Arabidopsis thaliana: one gene and its partner. The protein of the gene in region 2 purifies or fractionates together with the protein of the main gene of each other region. This does not show direct contact. Each region holds a gene or a part of one and is shown on either strand. Other genes may lie near its edges.

The links. Proteins that work in one complex are often made in the same cells at the same time.
Region 1: the proteins of AT4G35410 (region 2) and AT1G10730 fractionate together in Arabidopsis thaliana (co-fractionation; one large-scale study listed by BioGRID). This does not show direct contact.

Annotation. Positions count from the first base shown.
Region 1 is NC_003070.9:3,562,071-3,570,638, forward strand, and holds AT1G10730 (Clathrin adaptor complexes medium subunit family protein), read left to right. Parts: upstream 1-3,186; 5' UTR 3,187-3,392; coding exon 3,393-3,521; intron 3,522-3,661; coding exon 3,662-3,808; intron 3,809-3,914; coding exon 3,915-3,977; intron 3,978-4,087; coding exon 4,088-4,264; intron 4,265-4,338; coding exon 4,339-4,442; intron 4,443-4,534; coding exon 4,535-4,642; intron 4,643-4,766; coding exon 4,767-4,863; intron 4,864-4,957; coding exon 4,958-5,055; intron 5,056-5,155; coding exon 5,156-5,297; intron 5,298-5,372; coding exon 5,373-5,495; intron 5,496-5,610; coding exon 5,611-5,709; 3' UTR 5,710-6,036; downstream 6,037-8,568. Other genes in the region: AT1G10717 (EMBRYO SURROUNDING FACTOR-like protein), read left to right, coding at 110-173, 276-484; AT1G10720 (BSD domain-containing protein), read left to right, coding at 894-1,509, 1,610-1,797, 1,891-2,376; AT1G10740 (alpha/beta-Hydrolases superfamily protein), read right to left, coding at 6,273-6,477, 6,546-6,677, 6,759-7,196, 7,380-7,483, 7,571-7,671, 7,767-7,870, 7,971-8,065, 8,154-8,396. UniProt on the Arabidopsis thaliana protein: Subunit of clathrin-associated adaptor protein complex 1 that plays a role in protein sorting at the trans-Golgi network and early endosomes (TGN/EE).
Region 2 is NC_003075.7:16,827,132-16,834,502, reverse strand, and holds AT4G35410 (Clathrin adaptor complex small chain family protein), read right to left. Parts: upstream 2,165-7,371; 5' UTR 1,932-2,164; coding exon 1,929-1,931; intron 1,580-1,928; coding exon 1,493-1,579; intron 1,420-1,492; coding exon 1,219-1,419; coding exon of another isoform or gene 1,189-1,218; intron 1,111-1,188; coding exon 1,075-1,110; intron 964-1,074; coding exon 877-963; intron 782-876; coding exon 707-781; 3' UTR 501-706; downstream 1-500. Other genes in the region: DRL1 (dihydroflavonol 4-reductase-like1), read left to right, coding at 1-171, 265-412; AGF1 (AT-hook protein of GA feedback 1), read right to left, coding at 4,001-4,900. UniProt on the Arabidopsis thaliana protein: Subunit of clathrin-associated adaptor protein complex 1 that plays a role in protein sorting at the trans-Golgi network and early endosomes (TGN/EE).

The DNA of each region.
Region 1 (8,568 bases), on a different chromosome or scaffold from region 2:
TTTTCTCTACTTGTTTATATATTCTAAAAGTTTTTGTATTTACATAATTCCACAACAACTCGAGAAGACAAATAAAACTCACAACACAATTGTTTGAGACACTCAAACCATGAAATCATCACATACAACTTTAATCTGTATAATCATGCTCTCCCTCTTTGCTCTGCATGAATGTACGTACATAATTTTGTTTCTTCTCGTATCAATTACCTTTTTTCTCTTTTTCTTTCCATTGTTAAATTTGGTTTTGTGTGTATGTTCAAATCAATGTGTAGGTGAGAAGATGGAGGTGAAAGAGATAGGGAGATCGAGCAAAATCATTTTACCAGCGTGTATGCATGAGACTTGCTCCGGTGGTTTCTCACTGAAAAATGATTGTTGGTGCTGCTTGCGACTTAAAACTAAACAAGCTCGTTGTTGGAAAGAAAAAGAATTTCCCAACGCTAAGGAGCTTTGTTTCGCCAATTGTCCCCCTCTTGAATAATTTTTATGGATTCTGTCATTTCGAAGCAGATTTTTTTAAAAAACGTTGATAAATCTAAATATGTATGTTGCATATTCGATTTAAGGTTTTTTATGACATTTATTTCGATTTTAGTGGATTCCTTTACATTAATGTTACGATATTCTTATTTTCTATAATTTAAATTCACTGAATATCAACCAATTACATTTCTAAATAAAAATATATATTTTATAGGTGTTAGATAATCCAATTACAGTTGCCACCAAAAAATATGGAATTTAAAACTAAATTACAAGTATATGATATTTAATTTGGATGGGGTTTGTTAGGAAAAGATAAAATAATTTGCATAGTTTTAGTTTTTGAGTCAACCAAATGGATCAATAGATTAATTGAGAAAAAGAAAAGAAAAAAGAAATCAATCATAATGTTTTCGAATTTTTTGGAAAGCTTATACGATGGAATCGGAGACGATGACGCCGCCGACGACGACGAAGACAACAACAACGACGAGAAAACCCCGAAAGCCTCAACGGAAAGACACGATTTCTCGAGAAACGCCGTTCGTTTGTCACCGGAAGAGGAGGCTCAAGCGCGTGGGGTTAAAGATGATTTGACGGAACTTGGTCATACCCTCACGCGTCAATTTCGTGGTGTGGCTAACTTTCTCGCTCCGTTACCTGATGGATCTTCTTCTTCTTCCTCCGATCTATCGAACCATCCCAGGTTTAACCAATCTCGGTCTTCAGATCCTGGATTGAATCAATCGCGTTCTTCAGATCGGGACGAATCGTGTGTTGGAAGTGATACGCCGGAGACTGGAATTAGGTTTAGGAGCTGGGATTTAGAAGAAAAATTGGCAGAAGGCAATGATCCGGAGGATGAGGAAGAAGAAGAAGAGGAAACAGATGAAGAAGAAGAAGAAGAAGAAGAGATCGCTGCGGTTGCTCTTACAGACGAAGTGCTAGCATTTGCGAGGAACATAGCAATGCATCCAGAAACTTGGTTGGATTTTCCTCTTGATCCTGACGAAGATCTTGATGGTAACGTATACATTGAGTCAAGTCTTTCGCTATTAGTCTTCATTGATTTGACTTATAGGCATATCAAAAGTTTGATTATTTCAACTTTTATCTAATGTAGATTTGGAAATGAGTGATGCTCAAAGAGGTCATGCTTTAGCTATTGAGCGTCTTGCTCCGAGGTTAGCTGCATTGAGAATAGAGCTTTGTCCATGTCATATGAGTGTTGGTTACTTCTGGAAAGTCTATTTTGTTCTTCTTCTTTCAAGGCTCAATAAACACGATGCTCATCTTTTGTCTTCTCCACAGGTTAAAAAAACCTGAATCTCAATCTCTTCTTGAGTCAAAATGATTCTTTGTTGTTGCTGTTGTTTATTCAACAAAATCCTTTTGCTTTTGCAGGTGATGGAAGCTAGAGCATTGTGGATGAAAGAGCTTCAGAATCAGACACATTCTTCAAAAGAAAGTAGAGATATGATTCTTGAGGAAGAAGATATTACACCATCAACTTCTAATTACTACAACCATGCTCCTCCTGAGTTTCTTTCTCCAAGAATATATGCTTTTGAACCTCCTTCGATTATGTATCGCGATTTTGAACACGGGTTTGAAAACGCTCAGTTCATCGATAAAGCTGTTATTGAGGAAAAACCAATCCAGAAGAACGACAAAAATAGTGCAAGCCTTAGCCAAACATCTAAAGATGTTGTTGATGATGATGATGATGATTGGCCAGAAGAAGAAGATTCTGCTAATTCTTGGGCTCCAATGTTTACAGTGAATGAGGATGATGTTTCTTTCAGTGATCTTGAAGGAGACGACGATATAAGTAGCTTAGCACTCAAGTCTAAGATTACATCAAAGGGCACAGACCAAAAAGGAACATGAAACATCATCTGGCTTGTTGCTTTGCCCTGCCTCACGAGATCGAATCAATAGAATTGAACATAAGTACTGTGTGCTGAGTCAAATCGTGGAAGTCTTTTGGGTGAGTTTGATTGTTTTGTGGATTTATGATGTTTGCTCTCAAAGAGAAGGAAGAAAGAAAGAAAAAGGTTTTGATTGAAACATGTACAGAAGATTTACTTTGACACTGCAATTTCATTGTAATGTTCTCTCTCGCCAAATGTAATGAAATATTGAAAAGCACTATTTCATTCGCGTGGAACTTAAAAGAAATTGATAGAGAATGGCGCAAGTGAATTCAAGTGTAACAAACTGTTAGAATCATTATTGGATTGGAAAATCATATGGGATTTTATTGCTTATGTTGAGGATTTGTATGTATGAAAATGGGAACAACCAGGAGGAGCTATCATCAATTAACAAAATAACTCCTATGACTTAACTAAAAAACAAATCTATGTTGAAATGTATAACATTTGTCAAAATGCTAGTACTTTGTTAATAATTAAGGGGTGTTATTGGTTTGTGATTTATATAGAGTTTTAGTGATTTAAAAATATTATATAGAATCTGATGTTATTCAATTCAAATTTTCATTTTTTTTTTTTAATTTGGTATTATTAGTTTAAGATTTATAAAAATTAATCTAAAATCTTCGTAAGTAAGATTGCTTCCCTAATACAGAGAAAGAAAGAAAAACCAAGTAAGATTGGTAATACGATGTCGTTTCGCAGAATAATGCAAAGCTGAACCCAATTTAATAAGCTGCACTTTTCTTTCTTTCTCGAGTCTCCCGTCGTTTTTTATGTCAGAACCAATTCGTCAGGTCGTGAATAAGTGACTTTATCGACGAACCACCACTCAGCTGCAGCAAATGATCGTTTAGCTCCGGCGAAGCGTAAAATTCTTCAGATCTCTCTGGAATTAATAATCCGTCTGTTTGATCGATCTGATTCGGCAAATCCTTGAGAAAACAAGGAGGGAAGAAGAAGAAGAACATGGCAGGGGCGGCCTCAGCGCTGTTTCTGCTCGATATCAAAGGTCGTGTTCTCGTGTGGCGCGATTACCGTGGCGATGTCACCGCTGCTCAAGCTGAGCGTTTCTTCACCAAACTCATCGAGACAGAGGTGAAGTTTTAACATTTGGAACTAATGAACAAGCTTGATCAGTGCTTAAAAGGATTCAATTTGATCAGAATCGTTATACTTATGACTAAATGACTAGTGTTTTCTCTGCGGGTTTGCTTACTTTCGTCTAATATGTTCAGGGTGATTCACAGTCAAATGATCCGGTTGCTTATGATAATGGCGTGACCTACATGTTTGTACAGCATAGTAACATTTACCTCATGATAGCGTCCAGACAGAACTGTAATGCTGCCAGTCTTCTCTTCTTCTTGCATCGTGTAGTCGATGTAAGCATCCCTAGTGATTCAGTTTTTTGCATTTCCATCTGTTTTCTGAATTTGAAGAAAAAAGAACGGCACTGTTTCATATGTTACAGTCTTATACTGATCGTAGGTCTTCAAGCATTACTTCGAGGAGTTAGAGGAAGAATCTTTGAGAGATAACTTTGTGGTAGTGGTAAGATAATGCTTCTCACATCTCTTCTTATAACTGTTTTCCCTCTTGCATGAGGTGGATATGTGTGGGCGAAAGTTATTTCTAAAAACATTTACTTATGTTACTGGCAGTATGAGTTACTTGACGAGATGATGGACTTTGGTTACCCTCAGTTTACTGAGGCAAGAATCCTTAGTGAATTCATCAAGACTGATGCATATAGAATGGAAGTTACACAGAGACCTCCAATGGCTGTCACTAATTCTGTCTCATGGAGGAGTGAGGGGTTAAAGTTTAAGAAAAACGAAGTAGGTGCTCAACATTTTACTTTTCAATTGTTTTAGGTTTTCTAATGTTTGCAGACTGATGTTTTGTTTTCCAGGTTTTCTTGGATGTGATAGAGAGTGTAAATATCCTTGTGAACAGTAATGGGCAAATTGTCAGGTCTGATGTCGTTGGAGCTTTGAAGATGCGAACATACTTGAGGTGCGTTCTCTAGTGTCCCTAGTTAACCAACGCATTTAAAATCAAAAGTCCCTCCTCTTTGACTCTCTGCTTCTTTATCCATGTTATTACAGTGGAATGCCAGAGTGTAAGCTAGGCTTGAATGACAGAATATTGTTGGAGGCACAGGGACGAGCAATAAAAGGAAAAGCCATTGATTTGGAGGACATCAAATTTCATCAGTACGTTAATCTCTTGCAACTTTAAACATTCTTTGACAGTCACTCTATCGAGGCCAATTTTTTTACTAACTCGAAAAATTATTGAATACTTGAGTTTTTACACGTCTCTTTCTTCAAAATGTAGGTGTGTTCGATTAGCCCGTTTTGAGAACGACAGGACAATATCATTCATACCACCTGATGGATCTTTTGATCTTATGACGTATAGACTCAGTACTCAGGTTTTAGAATGTGTAATATTGCAGAAATGGTTTTGTCCCCTTCTTAAACGAATTATATCATGATATATCTTATTTTCGCATAATACTTGTTCAGGTAAAGCCTCTTATATGGGTGGAAGCGCATATAGAGAGGCATTCCAGAAGTCGTGTTGAGATGCTAGTAAAAGCTAGAAGCCAATTCAAGGACAGAAGGTAAGTAACAAATGTTACTTAACACGTTTAACCATTACCTGAAATACTGAAATACTGGAATCCTTTAACGCGTTTTGATAAGAGTTCCTTTTTTCTGCAGCTATGCAACAAGTGTTGAGATTGAGTTACCTGTACCAACTGATGCGTATAACCCCGATGTAAGAACATCTCTCGGGTCGGCCGCATATGCTCCTGAGAAAGATGCACTGGTCTGGAAGATACAATATTTCTATGGGAACAAGGTAAGTTCTTATAGTTTAATGTAACACTTGACCATGTAAAGTCGAATGCTTACATTAAGTTTTGAAACAATGTAGGAGCATACATTGAAAGCAGATTTCCATCTTCCAAGTATAGCCGCAGAGGAAGCAACGCCTGAGCGAAAAGCTCCAATCCGTGTCAAATTTGAGATCCCAAAATTCATAGTTTCAGGAATACAGGTTGGTATTACTCACAATGATACGTTATTATCATATAGATCACATTCTTTTTATATTACTGCATTGAAATCTGAAGGCAAACAAACCTGATGTGTGTTAATTATGGGTATTGCAGGTTCGATACCTGAAGATCATTGAGAAGAGTGGGTACCAGGCACATCCATGGGTGAGATATATAACCATGGCTGGTGAGTACGAACTGAGACTCATGTAAAATGAGATCGTTTTTTTGTTTTTACTATTATTTAAGCCATTGTCAACGACACAAAGCAGAGGAAGATCAATGAGAAAAGGAAAAAGATTGAAATATATTAGCTGATAGAATTTGCGGTGAAGGTTGTTTTAGAAGCCATTTTCTTGTGAATTGTTTCATGGCGTTCTCTTTTTTTTTTTTTTTTTTCTGTAAAACTATATACGACAGTTATATATATATTGGGTTACAATTGTTAAACATCGAGTTTTATTTGGGGTTCTTTCAGTTCGTTTACCGATGGAAAATGCATGCAGTCTGGGTGACTACACCAATAATGGTTTTCCTTAAACGTCCGCTAATTTTGTAAGAGTTCACTATATAAATAACTTTGATGAGGCAGTAGAGCAACATGACGAACTAACAAATATTATAATTTTCAAAATGGAAGATATATATTTTACAGTACAACAAATCGAGAGGAGAACAAGAAGAACAATGAATAATCTGTATTAGTAGTAAATAGCCTAAACAAAAACTTAAGCCCTCAACGTAACAACCCTAAAACATTTTTTTTTTGCATGTGATCAATGTACAAAGTTGTTTATTCTGGGTGATGATGATGAACGAGGAGAAGAAGGAGATTGATTGGGGAGAGTCTGAGGAATCTTTCTAAAAACATGTTTCCTGCAACGTTGGAAGATGCTGTCGTATATCAGATCAAACTGAACACCAGCTCTCTCTCTGTTCACTATGAACATTATGTGATCTGCTTCCACTATCTTATAATACCTGCAACAACAAGGTATTCAGATTTTCTCAATCCATCAACGTCATTAGGTCATATATGATTCACTTACCAGATCCCGGGTTGTAATGTTTGACATTCCGAATCGCTCCTTATGAACCGGCTCGGATGCTCAACAGGTAGCCTCGGATGTGTCATTGATATTGTGTTCAATGCCCCGTCGTTCTCTTGCCAGTCCTCATCCCTTCATTCAAACATGTTTTCTTAGACCAATGCAGCAAGGGCTTCAAAAATCAATGTTAAATTTTTGAGTGTTTTTGAGTACCTGTAGCCTTTATAAGGAGGAGAGACATCTTGTGGGAATTTCCATTGGCTCATCTGAAAGACGCGGAGGAAGAGCATCGGGTGGATTCCAAGAACACCTGAAGGGATTGTCATACCCATGACTCTGCGGGTGCGTTTAGTCGCGTAGCTGAAGTAGTAAGTGTTTGGGAACGTCTGGAGATTGGAGTTAATACTTGTTGAGCCTTGGATTGTGAGATCAGGTAAGATCCAATCGCCAGAAGCAAAAGGACCTGCGTTTCCCATTAGGCAATCAACGAGACCTCTCACACCGGTCTTCTTCCAAGAAATGTTGAAGTGATCGAACCCGAAATTGTAATAAGTCTTTAGCCATGAAATGTCCAACCAATCGTACATTATCACGCCTATACGACACAGCTGCAACAAACATATCGGTTTCATGCTCACTCCATCATCTGTCCTGTAACAGCAACAATAAGAATCAACAATTAGGATAAAAGATCTTGGTTTTCTAATACAGGAACATACAATTGCTTCAAAGATCAAACCTTATTTCAAAATGAAGAAACAGGAACATTCCAATCAATTGTAAAGATCCATGTAAATACCGAAAAGAATTGAAAATGTCAGAATGAAAACTAACCGCATGCCATCTAAGTAGGTCCTGGTAGTTCCATTGAATGCCCCGGATAACGATGTCACACTCAGAACCCAATTCTCATTCGTTTCTTCAAACCCTTCAAATGCCTAAACATCATGGTTTCGCATCATTCATCAAACATAGCTTTTAAACCAGAAGATATGCTTCCATTAAAAGAAGGATTCGACACAAACCTGATCTGCAAGCATTTGCTGCAATACACGCACAACTTGCGCACCCGCTGAATGCCCCACAAAATGAATAGGATGATCCTCATCCCATTCAGGGTATTGCCCTAAAACACATACCAAAATCAGACTTGCATTCAACATGAAACATTTGGGGTATATTAGTAGTCTCTTCCAATGAGCATTCATATCAAAATCTAACCTTGTTCGTATCTTCTTCCAAACCGAGAATGTCCACAAGCCTCGCTATGCTCTTCGCCAAAATCAACTACCCCTCCTTTCAAATAATAGAACAATTCCCTTGCCCTGGAAACCAATGTTATCATCACCACAATGCACACATGGTATATCAAGATCTAGATCAAAACAACAAAATCCTAGGAGGTGCAAAAAATGAATCCAATACCTGTCATAGATGCTTGTTAAGGAACCCAAATCAGGAACAAGAACCCTCTCATCTTTCTTCTCAGCACCGCCAAAGTAAGATAAGCCTCCTAATCTCTGCTCAATCAAAGCAATAAGATCAAACCTCAAAACCACAATCAAATAATCAAAAGAACCAAATTTGAGGGGTTTGTTTTTGCATTACCCCTTTGCCAAATCCAAAGATGCCATGAACCAATACAATAGGAGGCAAACCCTCAACATTGGTTTGATTTTGACCGGTTTCTCCGAAAGCGACATTGGACTTAAACAAGTAATCATTCAACGTCTGAGAGATATCTCCGGCAACGGCGGAGCTAAATATATAAAACCCATAAAGCAAATGCACAATAGAGCTCACGAAGAGCTCCGCGAGTTGGAGAGAAGTCATCATCCACAACTTAATCATCTTCTTCTTCTACTTCTTCCCCCAAAAATCAAAAATCGGAGATTTAATAAAAATGAAAAGCAAAAAATCGAGGTAAAGGAATCTCCTTTATCCTAAAAAATCAAAAACTCCCCGGAAGAGGGGAGAGAAATAGAGAAGAGAGCCTTCTTTCAAAAGAACATAAAGAAGATGC
Region 2 (7,371 bases):
GCATGGACAAATGGGGTATGTTCATATCGATGACGTTGCACGAACCCACATAGTCGTTTTCGAACACGAAGCAGCTCAAGGCAGATACATTTGTAGCTCTAACGTTATCAGTCTAGAGGAACTCGTTTCATTCCTATCTGCTCGTTACCCATCACTCCCTATCCCCAAGAGGTTTGACACTGACCCTTTAAACTAAACCATCTCTCAAACCTTGTAAAATTTTAAAATCATAGATCATGATGATACTCTGTTTGAAAATTTCAGGTTTGAGAAACTAAATAGGTTGCATTACGACTTTGACACCTCGAAGATACAGAGTCTCGGGCTCAAGTTCAAGTCCCTTGAAGAGATGTTCGATGACTGCATTGCCTCATTAGTCGAGCAAGGCTATTTATCTACTGTTCTTCCATAACTCTTGGACTAGAGAATATGTGCAAATAAGATTGGTCTGAAATAGTAGTCATGTGGATTCACAATGAAAGAATGGGATTGGAAAACATGAAATCAAAGATTACAAACGATATAATCTTTACTTGTTTATGAACCAAATCATAACATATTTCTTCTCTCCAAGTTACGCTTTAAGACGAAAATCCCTCCGCAAGAAAAATCAAATGGATAAAGATTTCTCAAAACAATTACTGTAGCCAGAGACAGGGAACATACTTTAACTGCATAAGAATGCATAGATGATGAATAAGACTACTTATCGATTAGTAGCCTGAGCGATTATATTACTTATCGAACTGGCCTCCTCTTTTGCAACCTCCACCAGTTGATCCTTTGACAACATAACAGACAGAGACTGTCATTTCTCAAGAAAAAACTACTACACTAATATTTTCATGTCGATGACTTAAACATACAACTCAGTACCTGAGCGGATATAATCCTGGCTACTGTTTTCTTGCTTGACTCTTGAAGCTCCCCAGCAATCAAGAGCTCATCCAATATGTAATATGCCTAAGAAAGCAACAAGAAATCCAGAAACTGTCAGCAAGATATAAAGATGCAGAGGATAGAGAATCAAGTGACGAATGGCAGAGTCCTTGAGTGTTTGCAGCATGCTATTACCTTGTGGAAGTTAAAAATCAAATCGAGTTCACACACCTGAAGGTCATCAGATAAAACAATTCCTTATCATAATTTAGAGGTTCCGTTAAGGTAAGAGATAGTAAAGGTGGAATCTCAGCAGGTGCTGGTTTTTTTGGTACTCACACTTCCAAAATAGCGATCGAGAATCTCAACATAGTGATGAATGATCTCAAGGACCTCTAACTCGTTATCCTCCTGATCAATGCACATGCAGAAGTAGAGACTTGCATATCTTTTGTAAACAACTTTGTATCCTCTCCATTCAACAAAATTGCAGAGCTTTGGACCTCGATTCAGAATCACTCCACTGAGTTCACGTATAACCTATATACATAGCATGTAAGATGAGAGATGTATGCTAAAGCATAACAAGGTGTGAATGAAGCTCAATACATACCTTAGATCTTTCCTTCTGTGCATAAGGAGAATACCATTTGGTGAGCCTTACCTTTCCTTGCCGGCTAACTAGAAGCACAAAATGTATCTGAAAACACACAAATCAAAAACACACCATTGGTTTCTTATTAGGATCATCAACTCACCAGCTTAAGAAAGAGTCCAACAAACAAAGGTTTCAAATTTGAAGCCATTGAACTGAACTAGGAGGATCGAAACTACGAAAAATCAAACCCAGAAGCTAGCATTATCAAACTAAAGTCACCAAATTTTCTATCTGCAAAGAATAATTTGAAGAGAAATATCTGAAACCACCGATCAAGAGCAGATCCAAGTATCAAACTAATGAAGAAGAAGCATAAGAACGAATCGGAGATGCGAAATTCAAATCCAGGGCAGCATTCGTAAACACAGAATCGAAGATCGAGCATTGTTACCATGATTTCGTAACTCAAGACGGGACAAATCTGTAGTAGCGAAATCCAGAAACTGATAATCGATGATCCTCAACAAGAAAAAAATTCTCTTTGCTCAAACTGTCAAACATGTCGAGTGCCAGGGGTATAATTGTCATTTACATAATTAAAAACGGATTGCATTCCGGGTCGGATCCATGCAAACGGATTGCATTCTCAGCTAATTTTGTTCCATTATTGCAATTATCTTCTTAATCTTATCGAATAGACCAGGGCATTACACATTAAACGTAGCAATTATGTCAAAAGATTTTGAATGAAAATAATTCTTCAATTAATCTTATAGAATTAGTTTCTTAGGTATCAAATTTTTTAATTGTTCTTATACTTGGTGCTGGGTCAAACAACAGAAAAGTATAAGCAATTTTTTTATAACTAAGAATGAAAATATAAAATGCAAATGTAAAGGTAAGTCCATAATCAAAATAGACATAAACAACAGTTTTGATAAGACCCAACAGAAATAACTCCTGACTAACGTGAGCAGCGACTAATGGACACAATTGTGAAGTTATGAACATACTTAATCTCTCACATAAGCTTGTTTTTATTTAACCTTGGAGGGAAGGCATATTCTCTTGCATGCAGGCTTTATTTTTATTTTCTTTGATTTTTGTTTTTCTCAAGTTTCAATGTGTTTTGAAGTTGACATCATCATAGATATTAGGGTTTTAGTTGTTCTCCCAAAATATTCTTTCCCTTCTCTGCGAGACAGTGGAAGTTCAGTTTTATCACAAATTAGAACATGTTTATATGACAATAATCGGAAGATTTAGTTAGAGCCTTAATGTGTGAACATCAATTTACGAATATAATTAAAGTCCATTTTCTCCGTATTACTCACCTAATAATTAGGGGGGAAATGTTATTTAATACCTGAACTTACAAAAAATGGCCAAATTAACCGTGAATTCGTGAAATGGCCGTTTTATCTCTCAACAAAAAGTTGACTTCTATTTTAACCTTTAAGTTTGCGTTGACTCGGTTTAATAAACCACCGTTAAAAATCCTTCTAACAGCGTAATTAACAGCCGTTACAGAACATCCGTTAAGGTGATACGATGACGTTTTGTGCTATCAACAGACTTCAAAGTCGACGAAACCTCTGAAAAATCTCCAAATCAAAACCCAAATCCTAAAAATCATTCTCTCTCAAATTCGATCTGCTTCTCCTTCCGGCGTTGTTTTAGCTGCATCTTGTGCTCCCTCTTCTCCGCCACAAGACTCAGATACCACATTCGTTTCACCCCCAACTTCTTCTCCAATTTCATCTCTTTCTCCTCGCGGTGGTGCTTCGACTCCATCTCCCACCAAATTCTCTGATTCGTGAAGCATTGGAGATCCAATCCTCATAACGACGCCATTCTTTCTAACTAATGGCATTTCAGAAAACGAATTGAAGCAATTAGGGTTTCGATTTTGATTTTGGGGGCAGGATTAGGTTTCGATTTGGGTTTAGGGTAATTGATTTTGTTTTGGGAATTTCTATTCTCGATTTTGATTTCTCTTTAGCACAAAACGTCATCGTATCACCTTAACGGATGTTCTGTAACGGCTGTTAATTACGCTGTTAGAAGAATTTTTAACGGTGGTTTATTAGCCCGAGTCAACGCAAACTTAAAAGTTAAAATAGAAGTCAACTTTTTGTTGAGAGATAAAACGGCCATTTCACGAGTTCACGGTTAATTTGGCCATTTTTTGTAAGTTTAGGTATTAAATAACATTTTTCCCTAATAATAACATTTTTCACGATTAATATGGTCGATTTGACATTTTTCTGTAAGTTTAGATATTAAATCACAAATTAATACTATTTTTTTTTTATGAAACTTACCAATTCTATTCATAAAAACAAACAGAAAAAGGAAATTTAAGCGTTCGTTTTCTTTTTTCACACACCAAGTTTTAAGAGAAACAAAAAATAAATAAATAAAACCTAATATTCGCATTTCGCAACCGCTATAGCTAGTAGCCTAGTAGTTTGAGGTCAAACACGCAAACGCAACAAAAGGTGTCACCAAAACGCTAAAACTCTAAAACGCGGGTCTAGTCGCACCGCCACCACCTCCTCCGCTACCGCCGCTCATACCGTAAATATCTCCCCCGGAGAATTGAAAATTGTTCATATTCATTCCAAGATTGTAGAAAGCAACACCTCCTCCACCATTTCCACCTTGGAGGTTTGACTCACACGCCTGGGCCCCACTCCCCGTAACCTCCGACGACTGAGACGCCTCCGGCTGCTGCTGCTGCACCCCGGTGGTTCTCGGCGGTGGGGTTTCTTCCTCTTCAATCGGTAACCTATCATAAACTGCGTTTGCAAAAGAAGCAGCCATCAACACTACCGGTCCCGAAGCAATTAACGAACCAGCCACATTCCCTCCTACAACTTGTCCTTGACCTCCGGCTAGATACACCGTCAAACCTCCTGCTCCCGGTGGTGCAGGCGGTGGAAGCGCAGTACCGGTCAAAGACAAAATGTCAAACCGACCATGCAGGGTAATCACACCTCCACCAGCCGGAGCCGCAGGTTGCCGTATCGTGACGTTAGTGACCGCACCCGTGCCGCTTATAATGCAAACGCCGCAGCCGCGACGAGTGGCGTAGGTGGAGACTGCCTCGGATATGTCCGAACCGGAGGTGACTTCAAGAACGTGTGATCTAAGGACGTTAGGACTATCTCTAGTTATAATCGTCGGAGGTTTGGGTTTGTTTTTGGAACCTGCAGGACGACCACGTGGACGACGTCCGGAGGAAGAGCCAGAGGCTGTGGCTGAGCTGGTGGCTCCACCGGTGGGAGTGGTCTCGGCCTTTGCTTCGTCTGCTTCAGATCTGTTAAGTTCCATGTTATTTTGATCAGGTGGGGTTCTGGAATCTTCAGGTCTCTGTAGATGCAGTTCTTGCCCTAGAAGAGGGTGCATATAACTAGACATTGATAACAAAAACAAGAAACTGTGGTTTGGGTTTTTGGATTTTTTTGGTTATAGCTAGTGAGAGACAAAGACAAAAGTCGACAGAAGTGGTTTGTCACTGAGAGTATTTCAGAGACTGAGTTTGATTATTAATAATGCTACGGACAAAACAAGAAGACGACAAGAGAGAACAAAACCTTACTGAATAATTAGAGAGAGAGAGGTCTACATATGTGAAAGAGCTGGGTCGGTGAAATTTGTCTGGACCCAGATCTAGATCTTCATGTGAAATGGAATGAAACAAAGGAGAGAAAGAAGTAAAGCAAGAGCATCACAAAACACAGCTCTCTTCTAAACTATAATAAGGTACATATAAATATAAATAATACAAATATATTTGTGTATCCATATAATAATATGTTGGGTTGGTGTAGTGACTTTTCCTCGAGTGAAGCAAAAAAACTAAATTAAGATGTTGACGACCTAAGAAGGGACTGATGGATTCTGCGGGAGACAAAAGAAGGATTCTGGAGAAGTAAATCACGGAGATAGAGAAGTTAAAGGAGAGGCCTTTTGTGACGGTGAAGGGATGGTTTTGTGATGGTGATATGATGATTGTAGATTTGTTTTGTTTTCTAATCTTAAAGCAAAAAAAGAAAACAAAGCGAATGTAAATTGTTATTCCAAAGTCAAGTTACGCTGTTTGATTTCAAGAACTATAACCGACCAAACTATCTGTTAGTGTTTTTTGTCGGTAAATAACATAACGATTGTCCTCTTTTTATTTATTTTTAAGTTCAAACTATTACATTTTAGTATTTTTACAAAATTAAGATCGGAAGTTTTAAAATACTAGCATTTGCTCTTACCATGAGTCTATAGATATATAAATCATGTGTGTTTAATTAACATGACAAGAACCAATTGCTGAAAAAAAACTAAAAATAGTTTTGGTCATTCAAGATCTTTTATTAAAGATCAAAACATAGGAGTAGTAGTTATTTTCCCACCTAAAACTTTGATTTTAGACAATGAACTGGAAATAATTTTGTTCTCTCCTAGTTAATCATGCTGATATATAAACTCATATGGATTACTTTCGAATATTTTCTTTTGAGTGGTGATGAAGTGATCGGACGAGTAAAGCTCAAAAAGAATTTGTGTGTGTAATGAGTAGAGGAAGACAATGAATGGGGCTTCATGGCTGTTATTTGTGAAAAGAGTGGTGGATTTCACATTTTCACATGATGAGCACTTTGCTTTCTTCCTATTTCTTTTTTAGTTTAAACTTTTAGATTTCTCGAGCCACTCAAGACATGGCTTGGCTTTTTTTATTTTATAATGTTCTAATATCAAAATTGCTAAAACTTTACAGAGGGGGCGTGTTTTATGTTACAAACAAAGTAAGCTGAATTAATTTTATGCACATGCTTGCCAATAATACTAATTCGATTTCAACGACTAATGGATGGACATGCATCTTAATATGGCTTCTTAGTTTTTGTTACTTAGCGTAAAGACACATTTCAACAGTTCTTAGGGATTTTCACGATGTATTTAATTGGTTTACATAAGAATTTAAAAATTTAACAATTATTTAAACAAAACATTTAAGTTTTTAATAGTACTATAAAAATATAAGTTTTCATATTTTTTTTCAAAAGAAAGTGTTAAAATTTTTAATTATGTATAAACCATATTAAACTTATAAAAAATTTAACACTTATAAAAAAACCTTTAAAGTTTTAATAGTAATAATAAAATATAAGTTTTAAAATATTTTTTAATAAAACAGAAACAAATGTTAAAAATTTTAAAAATGTGTAAGCCACCTAAAACACCTCTGAAAAGTTTTGATGATATATATCCAACTAGTGTAGACAACATTTTAAAATCTAGCATTTATCCAAAAATATTTTAAAACTTTAAAATTTTAAAAATTTAACACTTATTTTTACAAAATTAACACTTACACAAAATTTATTAACACTTATAAAAAAAATCCTTTAAAGTTTTAATAGTAATATAAAAGTATAAGTTTTAAAATATTTTTTATTAAAAGGAAAACAATGGTTAAAAATTTTAATAATGCGTAAACTATATTGAACCTAGAACACCTCTTAGGGGTTTGGATGATGTATCCAATTAGTTTACACAAAATTTAAAATTTTAACTTTTATCCAAAAAAACCTTCAAAATTTAATAGTAATATAAAAGTATAAGTTTTAAAATATTTTTTAATAATAATAAAAAAGGTTAAAAATTTAAATAATATGTAAACTATATATTGAACCTAGAACACCTCTTAGGGGTTTGGATGATGTATCCAATTAGTTTACATAAAATTTAAAAATTTAACTCTTATCCAAAAATACCTTTTAAAGTTTAATAGTAATATAAAAATAAAAGTTTTATTCCCTTTAAAAACAAGAAAAATCAAAGTTGTTAAAAATTAAATGTTGTAAACCTGAACCTAAAAATAAAAAGTTTAT